Linked DNA regions of Tamandua tetradactyla. The protein of the gene in region 2 purifies or fractionates together with the protein of the main gene of each other region. This does not show direct contact. Links are inferred from orthologs where the notes say so. Each region holds a gene or a part of one and is shown on either strand. Other genes may lie near its edges.

Region 1 (7,807 bases), on a different chromosome or scaffold from region 2:
GATCATGGCAACTTTCATCTATCCCATAAGCATAGCCACTAAAATCTATTATTAAGAGAAAAAGTGGTAGTCAAATGGGAACCAAAAAAGTTATTAGCCATACTCCTTACTTCAAATATTATACTTAACCATAAAACTTTAATTTGAAAAAGTAATATTTAAATCAATCAAAACATTTATGAGAACACAGAATATAACTATTACAACAAACAGCAAAAATTTTGTCTCTGAATGCAAATCTCACTTGCAAGCAAGTCGATAGCCACTGATAACTGATGTGGGATGAATTTTCTGTTTGACTAGTTCATCTGCATTTTTCAGAAGTTCTGCTGCAATAATAACCTGTTGAGAAAACATTCATTGCTCTAAATGTAGCCTGGCATTCAGTATATGCAATGCATACATAAAATCAACACTATCTGATAAGAGCCAGAAAAATATTCTGCTAAGAAGCTCTTTCAGCAATATAGTAAAAGACTACACAGTCCTCTTAGGTTAAGTGGTTAACAGAGACTAACGTTTACTCAAACAACTTATACTAATTTAAGTTATTCTTGGTTTATTTTAACAATCTAATGAACACTAAAAATAGTTTTAATTAAAAAAATTTTTTAAATCCTGGGAGCTTTTCCCACCCTGGAAATTTTGTTAAATTACATTATGATAAATCAGTTACCGAGACAGACTACTATTATGACCTTAGAAGAGATAGAGTTCATTTTCTCATGGCTGAAGTGAAACATATTTCTTTCCCAAGATATTATTGCTTGTTTGGCTAGCTAACTTCAAACTTTAACAAACCCAAGTATACAGGATAATCTTTGAAAATTTAAGTCACCTTGTTAATCATGTTTACTGACTTGTCAAAATCTTTACATTGTCATACTGTAAATTTCTCACTTCCATTTTGACCCAGGAGTCTGCCAATCCTTAAAAAATATATATTTTAATTAAAAATGAAACAAAGCAAAGCAAAACTGGCAACATTTTCCCTCTAGATCATTACAAAGTAAAGGTCTTAGAACTTTCCACGGGTGGGGGAAGTGGCAAACTTTTTAGAAAAACAAAAATCTTAAGTACAATTAACCATGCTTAGCCAAAACCTCACGTCACATATCTGTAATACTATCTGTATTGTGGGGCAAAAAAAAAAATCTCAAAACTTCCAAAGGTCAAGATTTAAAATGAGTATATCAAATTATCTCAAGTTTCTTTTCTACTCAAATTGAAACAAACTAGGGTGATTAAGGTATTGGTGATGAAGGTAAGGGATGTTGGTATTGGTAACATTACGTGAATTTAATTAAGATCACTAAATTGTACACATACAGCAGGTAAAATGCGAAATTTGGTGTTGTGTGTTATCATAACAACAAAAAAACTGTATAAACTAGCTATAACCATCATTTTTCAAATGTATTTGAATCAGTACCCAAGAAATCTAATTTCTTCCTATTAAATATGTAACTTATTTCTCACTCAGAAGCAAATGATTCACTTATGCTCTCTCTCACTTTGAAAGCTTTGAGGAAAACAACTAGCCTTTAGCTACTCTATCAGGTGGCTTACATACCACTGAGGTAGTTCCATCTCCAACTTCTTTGTCTTGCAGATCAGCCAGCTCACAAAGAACTTTAGCTGCAGGATGCTCTACCTCTAGTAACTTCAAGATGGTTGCACCATCATTGGTAATGGTTACATCCTGAGAAATTTTGCAGGGGTGAAAAAAAAAAAAAAGGACAATGTAAATTACCCTCAGAAATGGAATAGATAACCCCATAAAATAACACAGTTTCATTATGACCACGACTCGATAAATACATCGAATTTACATAGCTAAAATTTAAGAACCATCCCTTTTATTTAACTTATACACAAGAGTTAAGTGTACTTACACCAATATCATCCACCAACATTTTATCCAAGCCAACAGGACCAAGAGAACTTTTTACAATATTAGCAATAGAAGCTGCAGCCATAACTGTGGATAATTAGTGAAAAAAGAAAATGAGAAATACTAGTCCAAAGGAGAACACTTTCTGTCTAAAAAATAAACAACATCCAGTAGCTTCCGAATTTCCCAAACTTACATATATATTCCATCAAAGGCTTTGCTCATAATTCGTATTAGCATTTACTAAGGTAAATTCATTTTGCGGTGTGTGTGCATGGTCCGGGAATCGAACCCGGGTCTCCTGCATGGAAGGCGAGCATTCTACCAATGAAACTACCCGTGCACCCTAAGGTAAACTCATTTAAAGGGGAGCTTTCCCGGATCTTAAATCAAAGGACGCTAACATTCAACCAACATTTCGTCAGCTAATTTTATCATGAGATGCCGTCAACAATAGGAATAAGAAACGGATCTAGACATTGGGACAACCGATGATCCAGCCACCTAAAAATTCTGTTTGCTCGTCGGTAAACTAAGTCCTGTGCTAAAGTCAATGGTCCTGAAACGAAGACCAGAGGTTCAGCAAGATGTTCTACCTGGTTGGGATCGAAACAAAAGACAACTATGGGGGACGCGAGCCGCGGCCGACATATTTCAGCGCAGATGGCTCGCTTTCCAGGCGGGGTGCTCGCCATCCACCCCCAACCCACACGCACGCGGTGCAGCTCTCAAAAACGTGCTGCGCTCTAAGGGAGCGGCCCTTCCTGGGACTGGGGCGCAGTCGCCCCGCCCCAAGAGGCCACCCGGCGGCTCTTCTAGGGACTGGAAAAGAGAGAGAAGCGTACGGAAGGCAGCCACAGGCCTCCCGGGGCGCGGTGGGGCTGCTCGGGCCCCCTCAGGCCTAGCCGTCTCTTACCGTTCTGGGAGCGGATCGCCTCCCCAGTGCTGCGGTCCCCGAACACGGACAAAGGCCCCTCCATCTTCGCGGTAGGGGGCTCGTCAAGAATCACTGACACGAAACCAGCGTTTCTCCCCCAGACACGGCGGCGGCCACCGCAACGGCGAAAACGCGAGGCAAGGCGAGAGGGAGAGGAGGAGAGATCGGTGCGTAGGCAGGAAGTGAGCGAGCGGCAGGGGGCGGGCACAGAGGCGGGTCAGCATCCTCGTCCAATTGGAAGCCCGATGAGAAGGGCGCGAAAGCAGGAGAACGGAAGTCCAGTTCCTGGGCGTCCGGAGGAAGGAGGTGATAGTTTGAGCATTCACCCGGGCAGTATTGCGCATGCCAATCTGGGGCATTCTAGTGACTTCTAGAAAAGGCGGCTGCAGGGTGGGGCTTGGGGTGCAGGGTGGGCACCTCTGTAATTTAGAACTGGGGGGCTGGGCAAGTTTGGGGTTTCAGCTTTATTCTCTTACTTTTTTGCCCTAAACAGGGATGTTTCCTCAGGGAACGTCAGGCTTTTCCCTAATGCACGTAAGCTTCTAGGGTGCCCGAGCCTGTGGGGCGTGGCAGGAAGTCAGCCAAAGTTTTCCAATGGGCTCAACGTGAAAATTTTTCACTGGAGGAAGACCCGTTTTCAAGAGTCAATCGTGCATCTTGCTCATTCCCATTTCTTCCCGTGCCCAACTGGGGTTTGCGTGGATCCTACAATTGGTCTAAGTCTTGGAATAGAGGGCCAAGATACGGTAACCTGAGGTTGTGGATGCCCTTAGACAGTTAACTCCTCGCCCGCTAGGAGAGTTAGCTTTCGACAGCAGCGCACGCCACCTGCAACACAAGCTTGCGAACCCTCCCGGCAGGACTCGCGCAAATAAGGCTTGCTCTAAGCCAAGGGGATCCCGCCCCGTCCACCACGCGTGTTACTGAGTGGTGATTGGTCAGCTCAAAGGCTTGCGTGCTCCTAAGCGTAGGTGATGATTGGAGAAGCGGAGATAACAACTTGCCTTCTCCGCCACTCGGCTGCAGGGGGTTTGCTGGTTCCGGGTCGAGAGTGTCCCACGTGTTGAGGATTTGATGACGCTCCCGACCCTGTGGCGTTGTCCCTAAGTTAATATGGCTGCGCCCGTGGAGACTGTGAAACACCCTTGAGGAAGAGGAGGCCAGACTTTATCGAGGCTTTGCCTGTGGTCTCCTGGTTATGGCGCTTCGTTCGCGGCCCTGGGAGTTATTGTCCGTTTGCAGAAATCCAGGTAATTAACCTTCCCCACTTTCCTTACGTTAAGTCGAGGGCTTGGAAAATAAATGAATATGCGAATTGCATTTTATTTTCCGCATGCAACATCGAAAAGTCAATGAGCTCACGGTATTGGGATGACAGTAGTAGGAAACTAAGGACCTGGGTCTGTCATTACTACACCCTGTGCCCAAACATACATATCATGCCCCTTCCAGGGCGGGAAGATTGGGGGAGTGGATAGGGAAAAAAGTAAAATCATATTCCTGTTTTGTCCGTATTACTCATCTTTTTTTAAATTGCTTTAAAATTGTGAAATATAACATGTATACAAAAAAGCAAGAAGTTTCCAGGTACATTTTAGCAAGTAGTTACAGAGCAGCTTCTAAAGTTTGATATGGGTTACAGTTCCGCGATTTTTCGTTTTTTCTTCTAGCTGCTCCCAGACATTGGAGACCATAAGAAATATCAATATAATTCAACAGTCATGCTCATTTGTTAAATCCTGTCATTTCTGTTATACTCCTCCTCCTTTTTAACATTGTGTGTGTGTGTGGAAAAACATATGCAAAAAAGCAAGAAATTTCAAAGCACCTTGCAACAATTAGTCGTAGCACAGATTTCAGAGTTTGGTATGGATTTCAATTCCACAATTTTAGATTTTTACTTCTAGCTGCTGTAAGATACTGGAGTCTAAAAGAAATATCAATATAGTGATTCAGTGCTCATACTCATTTGTTAAACCCTACCTTCTCTATATAACTCCACTATCACCTTTGATCTTTCTTCCACTCTTTAGAGCCATGCCCAGTGCCCATTATAGTTTTTCATGTTTGAAGGGGCTGTCAATAATATCGGATAGGGGATGGAACTAGTTGATGTTCTGGAAAGGCTGGCCCTTCTGGGTTTCAGGTCTTATCTAGTCCAGGGACCCATTTGGAGGTTGTAGGTTTCCGGAAAGTTACCCTAGTGCAGGAACTTCTGTAGAATCTTATGTAACAGCCTAGGTATTCTTTAGGATTGACAGAAATGGTTTTGATTGGGGGTTGGTAAATTATGATACGTAGCAATGTCTAACTGAAGCTTGCATAAGGGTGACCTCCAGATTAGCCTCTCAACTTTACTTGAACTCTCTCAGCCACTGATGCCTTATTTGTTACACTTCTTTTCCCCCTTTTGGTCAGAATGGCATAGATTATCCCATTGTGCCAGGGCCAGACTTATATTTGGGAGTCATTCTCCCATGCTGCCAGGGAGACTTTCATCCCTGGATGTCATGTCCCACGTAGGGGTGAGGGCAATGGTTTCACTTGAAGAGTTGGGCTGAGAGAGAGAGAGGCACATCTGAGCAACAAAAGAGGTCCTCTGCAGGTGACTCTTAAGCATGCCTATAGGAGGCTAAGCTTCTCTACTACGTACATAAACTTCACAAGAGTAAGCCTTAAGATCAAGGTCTTGTTCTGTTGATTTGGGTGTCCCTAATGTTTGGCACAGTATCAAGGGTTTCCCCAGTGGTAAAGTTTATTAGATCCATATGTTTTCTCCTATCCCTGAAGGGACTTTGCCAATACGTTTTGATTATCTGCTTAATATTCTCTGGGATGTATCCAGACATTATATTAAGCTATACAGGATAGGCTCTATTCTTATTCTGGGCTCCCTGTGTTTGAATTATTTAAATAGTCTATCCAGACAGGTTGAGTTAGATTATATGCTACAGAAAATTTAGATTCTGAATCAAATAAACCTTTCTTCCTTTGGTCTCAAAGAGTGCATGAGGTTCTAAAATATAGACAATGCTTTCCTTACCCCTGTATTCTGAATTACCTTATTCCTAACTTGGTTGGCTTCATTCTTATCTCTAAATACCAGATTATACATATATTAAACACCCTCTCATAATCCAGAAATAACAGTTACCACTCTGGGCTAAATGTGACTGCTATAATAGTTTACAATATAGGCCCCAGTTTTCTTCTAAGTATTTTCTAAATGAGATCATATAATACTTGTTCTTTTGTTTCTGGTTTATTTTGCCTTAACAAATGTCCCAGGTTCATTCACATTGTTGCATGTCTCATAACTTCATTCCTTTTTGTAGCAGCAGCACAGTGTGCGATCATATGTATACACCATCATTCGCCAGTCTACATCTCAGTCAGTGCATCCTTCAGCCATCTCCATCTACTGGGCCTCATACGTATAACATCCAACGTCAACAGTCCATCAAATTCTAAATTTTAGATAATTTCATTGTTCCCAAGAGAAAGATAACCAGTAAACATACCCTCACCAAATAGAAAATCCAAATTTCCCCATAACTTTTGCCCCCCCCCAACCATGGTACAATTGATGTTTTCCTGTTACACATAGCTTATGGCATACACATATTACTCATCTTTTAAGATAAGTGTGGTGGTTTCCATTTCTTAGAGTTTGGGTTTGCAGCCCTCTCAACTGGTCCCAAACCAGCGGTGACGCCTGAAGTGGACCCTCTGGAAAATGAAGCTGTTGCCCCAGAATTTACCAACCGAAATCCCCGGAATCTGGAACTCTTAGCTGTAGCCAGGAAGGAGCGGGGTTGGCGGACGGTGTGGCCCTCCCGTGAGTTCTGGCACAGGTAAATAAAGCTATTTGTTGTTGACCTAAAGGCAGAGTGGTGCATGGTACCCTGCAAGCTGCTTTCATCCATTCATTCAGCAAATATTTATCCAGCCCTTACTATGTGCCAAATACTGCTGGGGACTCTGCCCTTAGGAAGTTGACATGGGTGGGGAAAGGGGTTGGCAGCTGAATGGGGCAAATAGCACCTGTCTTGGAGAAAACTTGAAGAGGATGACTTAAGAGTGGGTGATTGGGTACCTTTGTATGACCTTTCTAAGGGAGTGATATTTAAAAAGCTGAAATCTGAAAGGAAGAACTCAGGCCATCTCGGAAATGCCAGGAAGAGCATTCCTAGCAGACCAAACAGCAATGGTGGGAATGAGCTTGTCATGTTAGAGGAACAGAAAGAAAGCCTGTGTGCCTGGAGCTCAATAGGCAAAAGGGTGCATGATGTAAGATGAGACTGGAGGGCTAGTGAGGGGACAGATTATTAGCTTTACAAGACAAGTTAAGCAGTTCAGACTTTATTCTCGCTGTAGAGGGGAGCTATGAGAGGTTTATAATTTTGAACCTGAATGACCTGATATTTAAATATCATTCTGGTTACTCTGGGATGGATAGATTCTTTTTTTTCCTCTCTCTCTCTTTTTTTTTTCGCATGGGCAGGCTCCGGAAATTGAATCTAGGTCTCCAGCATGGCAGGCAAGAACGCTGCCTGCCGAGCCACCATGGCCTGCCCCGGGACGGATAGATTTTTAAGGGAACTAGAGTAGAAGCAGGGAGAACAGTTAGGAATCTGCTATTCCTGTCATTTTGTCACAAGAATGGTTGTTTATTGAACACTTTCTTTTTGCCAAGAACTATGGTTGCTGGTTTATGCACATTTTCTCATTTACTACTTAAAACTACTTTGTAAAGCAGAAACAATTACTTTCTCCATTTTATAAGAGCAGGGGGAATTAGGGGTGAAGAAGTGCTAGGGTGAAGATTCAAAAATATTCTCAGAACTAGGCACTAAATTTTCTGTAACCTGCAACATGTGGCTGTTTATCTGCTGCCCATCTACTTGGTAAGAATTTTTTTTAAAAAGAATTTTTCTTAAGGACCCCGTAGAGTTACGAAACAAGTTAGAAATTAT
Region 2 (7,081 bases):
ACCTGAAGCCCAGGAAGGTCCCTGCTTTCTGCAAAACTGTACCTGAGTGCCAGTGGGGTCCCAGCATGATCTGGTAACAAGGCCCAGGTTGCCTGTCACTTGCAGCACACCACCTGCCCTGGCATAGCTCCCACCTGCTTACCTTTATTTCCACTACTAACACTACCTTCTTTAAGTGCCCACCAATGTGTCAGGTCCTGTTGTTGGATATGTAGATCTCATTTGAGCCTTAAAATGAGCTCAAAGATTCAGAGAAGTGAAGTCATCAGGGTCACGTTGTTTATAGGTGGCAATGCTGGGATTCCAATCAAAGACTGCCAGATTCAAAAGCTTTTGCTAAATTCTTCTAAAAGGAGCTATTTCAGCTCAGGCACTGCAGGCCTCTCTGGATCCCAGGGTTTGAGTCTATGAATCCTCTGAGCAAGTGGAAGCCCTAGTGGGTCCCCACGAGGCCATGAACTAGATCCCAGAACTGGTCCTTCTTCAGACTGGGCCTGGGACAATGGTGGCCAACTCAGACGTCAGTATAGTTAGTACCTCCTAGTCCACTTCAGTTTCAAATGGTAGGACCCTTGCACCCACCAGACCTCCCTAGTTCTCTGCTGCCTCACACCCCACATCAAAGTCTAAATGTCTCTGCCAAGCTGTTGATGACTGAAAAGAACAGTCAGAGACCTAGATTCAAAACCAACATCCCTTCCAGTCAGCTTTGTAACCTTGGGCAAGACCTTGGACAATTTCCTCTTCCGTGAAGTGGAATAAATACTCATCCCTGCCCTGCCTTATCCATAAGGCTGCTGCAAGGAACAAAGAGAATGAAGGCATAATTTCTCATTTACTCTGAAAACTCTAGCATACTACCCAAGCATTAGCCCTTATCACCAGCACACTGATTCAGGCCCTGTGAAAACAAGACTGATCGGAAACGGAAAAGGGCCAGGCAGCAACTGGTTTAAGTTCCTAAAATGCCAGTAAGAACCGAGGAAGCTAAGACAACTAAAAACACTTTGAAGCTGGCCAAGTCAGGGCAATTTCCTTGAACTGACAAAGCACAGAGGAGTCAGAGACAGGCACTTATAAAGGGGCCTCGCCTGTTTACCAAACTCATGCAAACTTTGCCTGGCTGTAGAGGGTCTATGTGGGGCAAAAGGCCTATGTGAGGCAAAAAATCCAGCTCCGCCACTTCCTCAGTCAAATTACCTGGCCTCTAGGAATCTGGCTTCCTCTTCTGTAAAATGGAGCAAATAATTCCAACCTTACAAGCTGGCTGGGGGAAGATTGTTTTTTTTTTTTTCCTTCTTGCCAGTTCATGGCCAAACAGTGGGCTTGTAAATTTTCCAGCCTTGGGGAAGCCACAGTCAAACAGTTTCTTGGATAAGGCAGGTGATTAGTCTCCTCACTGTTGCGCACACATTTCAGGCCTCCATTCCTACTCTCATTGTGCTTGGAATGTCCTTCCTCCCTGGTCCTGCCCCATTGCTTACCCAAATTATCTTCATGCTTCAAGGCCTACCTTCACTTAGAAACCTTCCCTGATGACTTCAGCCAATGCCAGCACTGCCCTCGTCTAATATAGCAACAACAATAACACTTAATGATTGCCAAATATTTGCACTGGACCAAAGCACTATGCTAACTTCATACCACGCACCAACTCACTGAATCTTCACAACCAACTTATTAAGTACTATTATCCTCACTTCTCAGTTGGTGAAATGGAGTCTCAGAGAGCTCAAGACCACAAACACAGCTAGTAAGCAGCAGAGCTCAGATTCAAACCCAGAGCCATCATACTCCAAGGCCTCTGCTCTTAACCACCACACCATTCTACTTCCCATAAAACTCTGCGATGGGCCTCCCTCCATCCAGGGCTTAATTCTACTCTAGCTTATTTGCTGCAATTCTGAGGTCCTACCAATGAAAATGAGAGTTGGATGAAGTCCACCCCTTCTAGCATTATGGCCAGAAAAGGGACAGGACACAGAAAACTGATCTCGGATTCTAACCCCTACTTGCTGGTGAATTAACATGAGATTTCTCACTTGTAAACTGAAGACACCCACCTTTTATGGCTTGTTGGTGGAATTAAAAGAACTTTGTAAACCACAGAGTTTCTTGCTTTCCTGCCTTGACTCTTTGTTCTTGCTGACACTCCCTTTTATCTCATTTTTAAAGGCCTGCCCAAAGTACAGCTCCGCCAAGGAGTCTTCCCTGTTCCTCCCCAAAAGATGGGATTGTTGCTTTAAGCTTCCTGAATACTTTCCATAACTTCTCTTACTACTTTATAAAAATACATCATCTGATACTTTAAGTGTCTTTATTAAGGTGTGCCTCCCCCAGCAGGCTAGTGGCTCCTCGAGGAAAGGGGCGTTATACTGCTCCTCTCAGGGAACACTTCCTAGGTGGGCCAGGCCCAGAGTTCTCCGCTGGGCTTGCCCGGGGTCAGAACGTCCGAGTAGCGGCAAGACCTCCCCTCCCCGGGGCTAGCAGGCTTACCTAGCCTTGGCGCAGAGGGCCTTGACTTCGCTCTCCTTGATGAGCTCGCAGCGTCGCAGCTGCTCTATCTGCCGGTCCAGGTCGCTGATCTCCGCCATGGCCCACCCCCAGCGCGGGTCAGAGCCGGGGCCACTGCCCCCTCTGCACCGCACAGGGGTCCCCTGGGAAAGGTGAAGACGACCCCACAGATCTGAATGTCCGTACGGGGCGCCAGGGGCCAACGCGATTCTGAGGCTGGCCCGCCCCTTCCCCCCCCCTACCCGCCTCCCCTCACATCGGCTCCCAGAGACTCCCGACGTCCCGCGGCTCTGGCCGCACCGCCGCTAACTCCCGTCGAACCCCACAGGTCCCGCGCTAGGGACGTGGCCTGGAGGGGTCTCGGGCTATTACCGCCGCTGCGACTCCGGCTCCGGCTCTCAGGCTCTCTACCTTCCTCCTTCCCCCCGCTTTGGGCCGCCACTACCGCTGCTCCTACTTCCGGCCCCGCCGCGGAAGCAAAGGGAAGCTAGTTCCGGCGCGCGTCGGAAGTGGCGTCATATACACTCCTCCCTTCCGCGCCGCGCCCTTAACCACACCTCTCAAGCCTAAGAATGAAGTGAGCGGAGGGAGCTGGTTGTAGGTAACATGCGGACGGAAGTTGTGGACGGAAGTTGTGGACTAAACGGGCCGGTACTGGAGGGTGTTACAGACCTCAGGCCAGTTCCCTGCCGTTTCAGTTAGGGAAACTGAAGCTGAGCTGTGCTTAAACCTCTTAACTTCATGTTAAGTACTTTTGCCCATCTGTTGTAGTTTGCCTCGCCTACTACAATCCTTGAGGTATGGAATTTTGTCTTGTTTACCATTGTAGCCCTATGGGCCTGGCACATAGTAGGCATACATAAATATTTGTTCATGGCCGAAGGAATCTCAGTCCAATCCCCAGTCTCTTTTCATGGCCCGGGGGAAATCTTTGCCATCGGGACATCTACAGTTAGAGGCAGAAGAAAAGATCCACATTTCCCTCATCAAGCTAAAGACCTACCTCATTACAAAATAGGTCCCTTTACCTCACCTCAGTTACTTCCTATCTAAGGCAAGTTTTGTTCCTTTGTTAGGAGGAGGAAGCTGGCTCAAAGAACTAATTTGTTCATGGTTACATAGCTGAGAATTTGAGATTTGAATCAGGGTTGAAATTTGAACCCCAGAAAACTGTTCTCAAATCTAGTTTTTCCATTTTCTCAGAATTTACCATTTCTGTAGTTCAGTGAATCGTTATAAAATTCAGAAGTCCAGAATTTTCCAAACTCCCCTGACATTTGTAGTCCTCTGCTTCCCTTGTCTCTTTTGCTGGAGGCAGAGGAAGATACTCTAATCTAAGCCCACTCTCCACCTTTCCAGTCTCTCAGCCTTTACACATGCTGTTTTTTGAAGTGTCGTTTTTGCTTTCTTTCTACTTACCCTCAACTTTTATTTGCTTCAAGTTTTGTTTCCCAGAATTGAGGCTAGGCACAGAAATGAGGCCAAAGTTTGGAGGGCCACTAGGAGTGGATTTGATACATGAATGCAGGCAGTAGGTGCAAATGTGCACAGAAGGGAAGGACGAGGGTTCCTAGAAGGTACTAGGTAAGTCAGTTCTATGAGGATCATTGTGGGGATTTTTTAGGTCCAGAAAGGACAGAAAGGTCATGACCTTTTTCATGGATGGGAAGTTCAGACAGGAAAGAGTCCCTATCCAGAAAGGCTGGCAGTGAAAGAAGTTGCAGAAAATTTGGGAGGTGGCAGCAGGGCTATGTCTGTGGTTAGGATCTTTGGCAGTTCAGAAGAATCCAGTGTAGTTACTGTAGCATCCCAGCCTGGATGATTGAGGAAGAGTTCAGCGCATTGCATAGGGACAGCTTCAGGACCTTCCCTCTGGCCTCATGGACTGTGGCAGCTGCTGAGGTGCAGTTAACCTGGAACCTGGAGTACGTGTGCTGTCTGCATTGTTTAATTGAATGTTGGAGAGAATTCCAAATGCCTTCAGGGATTCCATGGCCCAAAGAGGACTAAGAATTTTAATTCCATCTCGCCCATAAAATGGGGCAATGGACCAGCCCCCTTATGGGGATATGCAGTAATAATCCTGTTTTCCCCGAAGAAACTTGTGTGATCTTAGGCAAGATGGCCGGGAATAGCAGTACCTACTCATCTACAGCACCTGCTACACTGTCTGGCTTTAAGCAGTTACTATTTTTCCACAGGGGCCTTGTGCACCCTGAGTTCTGGGCTGATACTGTGGCCTCTGGTGACTTGAGCAGTACATTTGCGCCCTTATCTGTGAGCCTTATCAGATGCTGCTGATAGAAATGGGTGGAGCATATAGTGGTTGGAGAATTTCACAAACTCTCTGTCTTCCTGAAAGCTCTGGGCAAGTATAAAACAAGGAAGGACACAAAAACAAGAGCTTTCTTCTTCAGGGCTCTGCCACCTTTGCAGGTTCCCCACTGCGCCAAACACCACGAGCACAGACAACAGAGTCCCCCTTAAATAGTTGTTTATTGGCAGTGGGCTGTAAAGGATGGAGTTAGCATATACAGACAACACCACACACCAAAGTCACAAGGGAGGCAAAAAAGTGATGGGAAAGAGCAGCCGGGAGCCCCAGATGAAGCCCCTCCTTGACAGTGAGTGTAGGAGGAAGCAGGGGCTTGGAGTGTTGAGGGGGCAACCTTAGAACACCTCTGCTTAGTAGGCATGGTTAGAGATGAAGAGGGACTCGCTGGCTGCGGTGCCGGTCTGGCCACTTGGGGTGTACTTTCCTTGGCAGGCAAGGCTGTTGGCCTAAAGGGGGAGAGAAACCAGAGTGAGAAGGCCTCAGGGAACCCAGCTTCTCAGAATCCCACCTACCCAGGTACCCTGTCTGCATCCTGCCCCATCCTTACCAGGGCTCGCTTGACATACTCTTCCTGGGCAGCCTTCAGGTTCTCCTTCTTCCCACCCCAGGCCTTCAGGGCAGAAGCCTGCAGGGCTCGGCCATAGGAGAAGGTCAGGGCCCATGGCTTCTGCAGGGGGCACTTGTTGATGGCGTTAAGGTTGATGGATGCCTCCTCTTCACTCTGGCCTCCAGATAGGAAGGTGACTCCTGCAGAACAAGGGTGAGACAGATAGGATCCCCAAGAAGCTGCCCTGAAGAACAGACCAGATGGGTATAAAGTCTGTGGGTATAAAGTACCCCCTTCCCAAGATGAAGTTGCACGCCTCACCAGGGACAGCAGGAGGCACTGTGCGGCGCAGTGCTGTGACAGTTGCTATGGCAATCTCCTCGTGAGAAAACTTCTGGGTGCAGGCATGGCCTGGGGTTACCATGTTGGGCTTCAGCAAAGTGCCTTCCAGGTAGACGTGGTGGTCACTCAGAGCCTTGTAAACAGCAGCCAGCACCTGGAGTAGGGCAGGGCCCAAGTTGGGTGGGGAGACGGGTCAGGTCAGGGCCCTGGCCCAGCTGCCCCACCCACCACAGCAAGCAGGAACCTACCTTCTCGGTTACATATTGACAGCGCCTCAAGTCATGGTCCCCGTCGGGGAGAATCTCTGGCTCCACGATGGGCACGATGCCATTCTGTTGGGTGGGAAGTGGGGTGAGGCCTCCTAAACCCAGGGTTCTGCCTCCAACCCCCCTGAAGTCACTGGCTGAGAGGAACTCCTGGCTTCAAGACCAACCTCATAAGCCTACTCTAGTCCTCTGCCTTGCAGAGCTTTCTGAGCATCTTCTGCTGGGCAAAGACAGAGACTGATTTGTTCCTAGAAAGTTCCAGGAACAGCTGCCTTGGGGGAGGAGGTAGGTATCCTGGCAGATGCGTAGCAGGCTAGCTGACAGCTTGGGGCCCAAGGAGGTGGGAGGTGGCTTACTGGGGACCCACAAGCCAACCTGCTGGCAGATGCTGGCATAACGGGCCAGCACATTGGCATTCTCCATAATGGCGAGGGAGGTGGGAGTATGCTCCCCGATCTTCAGCACACAGCGCCACTTGGCAAAGTCAGCTCCATCTTTCTTGTACTGGGCACAGCGCTCAGACAGCCCATCCAGCCCTGAAGGAGACAGAGGAATCAGAGCACAATGAGGGAGGAGCCACTTGGCCACTTACCCGCGGCCACCATGAAGGGTGACTATGGGTTAATAGAGTGAGGAGCCAAAGAGTTCTCACCTTGGGTGGTGGTCTCGCCATTTGTTCCTGCCAGGGGTACCACGCCCTTGTCTACCTGTTGGGGGAGGAGGGACAGCAAGATAAACAGGAAATGGTCTAGCACCCTTTTCTCCTCTGTAGCCCCAATCTGAACCCAACTTAATCTCTTAAACAGCACCTCATGGCTCACAAATATTTTTGCTTAGGTACAGTATCTAATCCTATGAGGCAAGATACATGGAGATGTTACCTGGCACAGACTGTTAACTGATTTGAGTTTCAGGAGGCCTGGGCCCTACCAGTTACTAACTCTGTAAGCAAAACACTTCACTTCCCTGACCCTCTGGTTTCTCATTTGTAAAACAGAGTAATCTCTCCCTCTGAGAATTGTGAGGGCTAAAAATGCCAGGCAGGTAACTGAAGTCCCTGGCTTTTCCTCTCCATCC

The links. The genes of interacting proteins can lie anywhere in the genome.
Region 1: the proteins of PPP4C (region 2) and TCP1 purify together in Homo sapiens (affinity purification with mass spectrometry; 5 studies listed by BioGRID and IntAct, with this or other methods). This does not show direct contact. The link is inferred for Tamandua tetradactyla from reciprocal best matches to the Homo sapiens genes PPP4C and TCP1.

Annotation. Positions count from the first base shown.
Region 1 is NC_135337.1:63,588,656-63,596,462, forward strand, and holds the start of TCP1 (T-complex protein 1 subunit alpha), read right to left. Parts: upstream 3,022-7,807; 5' UTR 2,875-3,021; coding exon 2,811-2,874; intron 1,982-2,810; coding exon 1,896-1,981; intron 1,703-1,895; coding exon 1,574-1,702; intron 343-1,573; coding exon 245-342; intron 83-244; exon of another isoform or gene 1-82. Other genes in the region: MRPL18 (large ribosomal subunit protein uL18m), read left to right, coding at 4,030-4,081, 6,499-6,685. UniProt on the Homo sapiens protein: Component of the chaperonin-containing T-complex (TRiC), a molecular chaperone complex that assists the folding of actin, tubulin and other proteins upon ATP hydrolysis.
Region 2 is NC_135349.1:24,612,231-24,619,311, reverse strand, and holds the start of PPP4C (serine/threonine-protein phosphatase 4 catalytic subunit), read right to left. Parts: upstream 3,022-7,081; 5' UTR 2,926-3,021; exon of another isoform or gene 2,887-2,925; intron 2,658-2,886; 5' UTR 2,595-2,657; coding exon 2,497-2,594; intron 2,419-2,496; exon of another isoform or gene 1-2,418. Other genes in the region: ALDOA (fructose-bisphosphate aldolase A), read right to left, coding at 5,200-5,295, 5,397-5,596, 5,718-5,892, 5,987-6,070, 6,380-6,540, 6,657-6,711. UniProt on the Homo sapiens protein: Protein phosphatase that is involved in many processes such as microtubule organization at centrosomes, maturation of spliceosomal snRNPs, apoptosis, DNA repair, tumor necrosis factor (TNF)-alpha signaling, activation of c-Jun N-terminal kinase MAPK8, regulation of histone acetylation, DNA damage checkpoint signaling, NF-kappa-B activation and cell migration.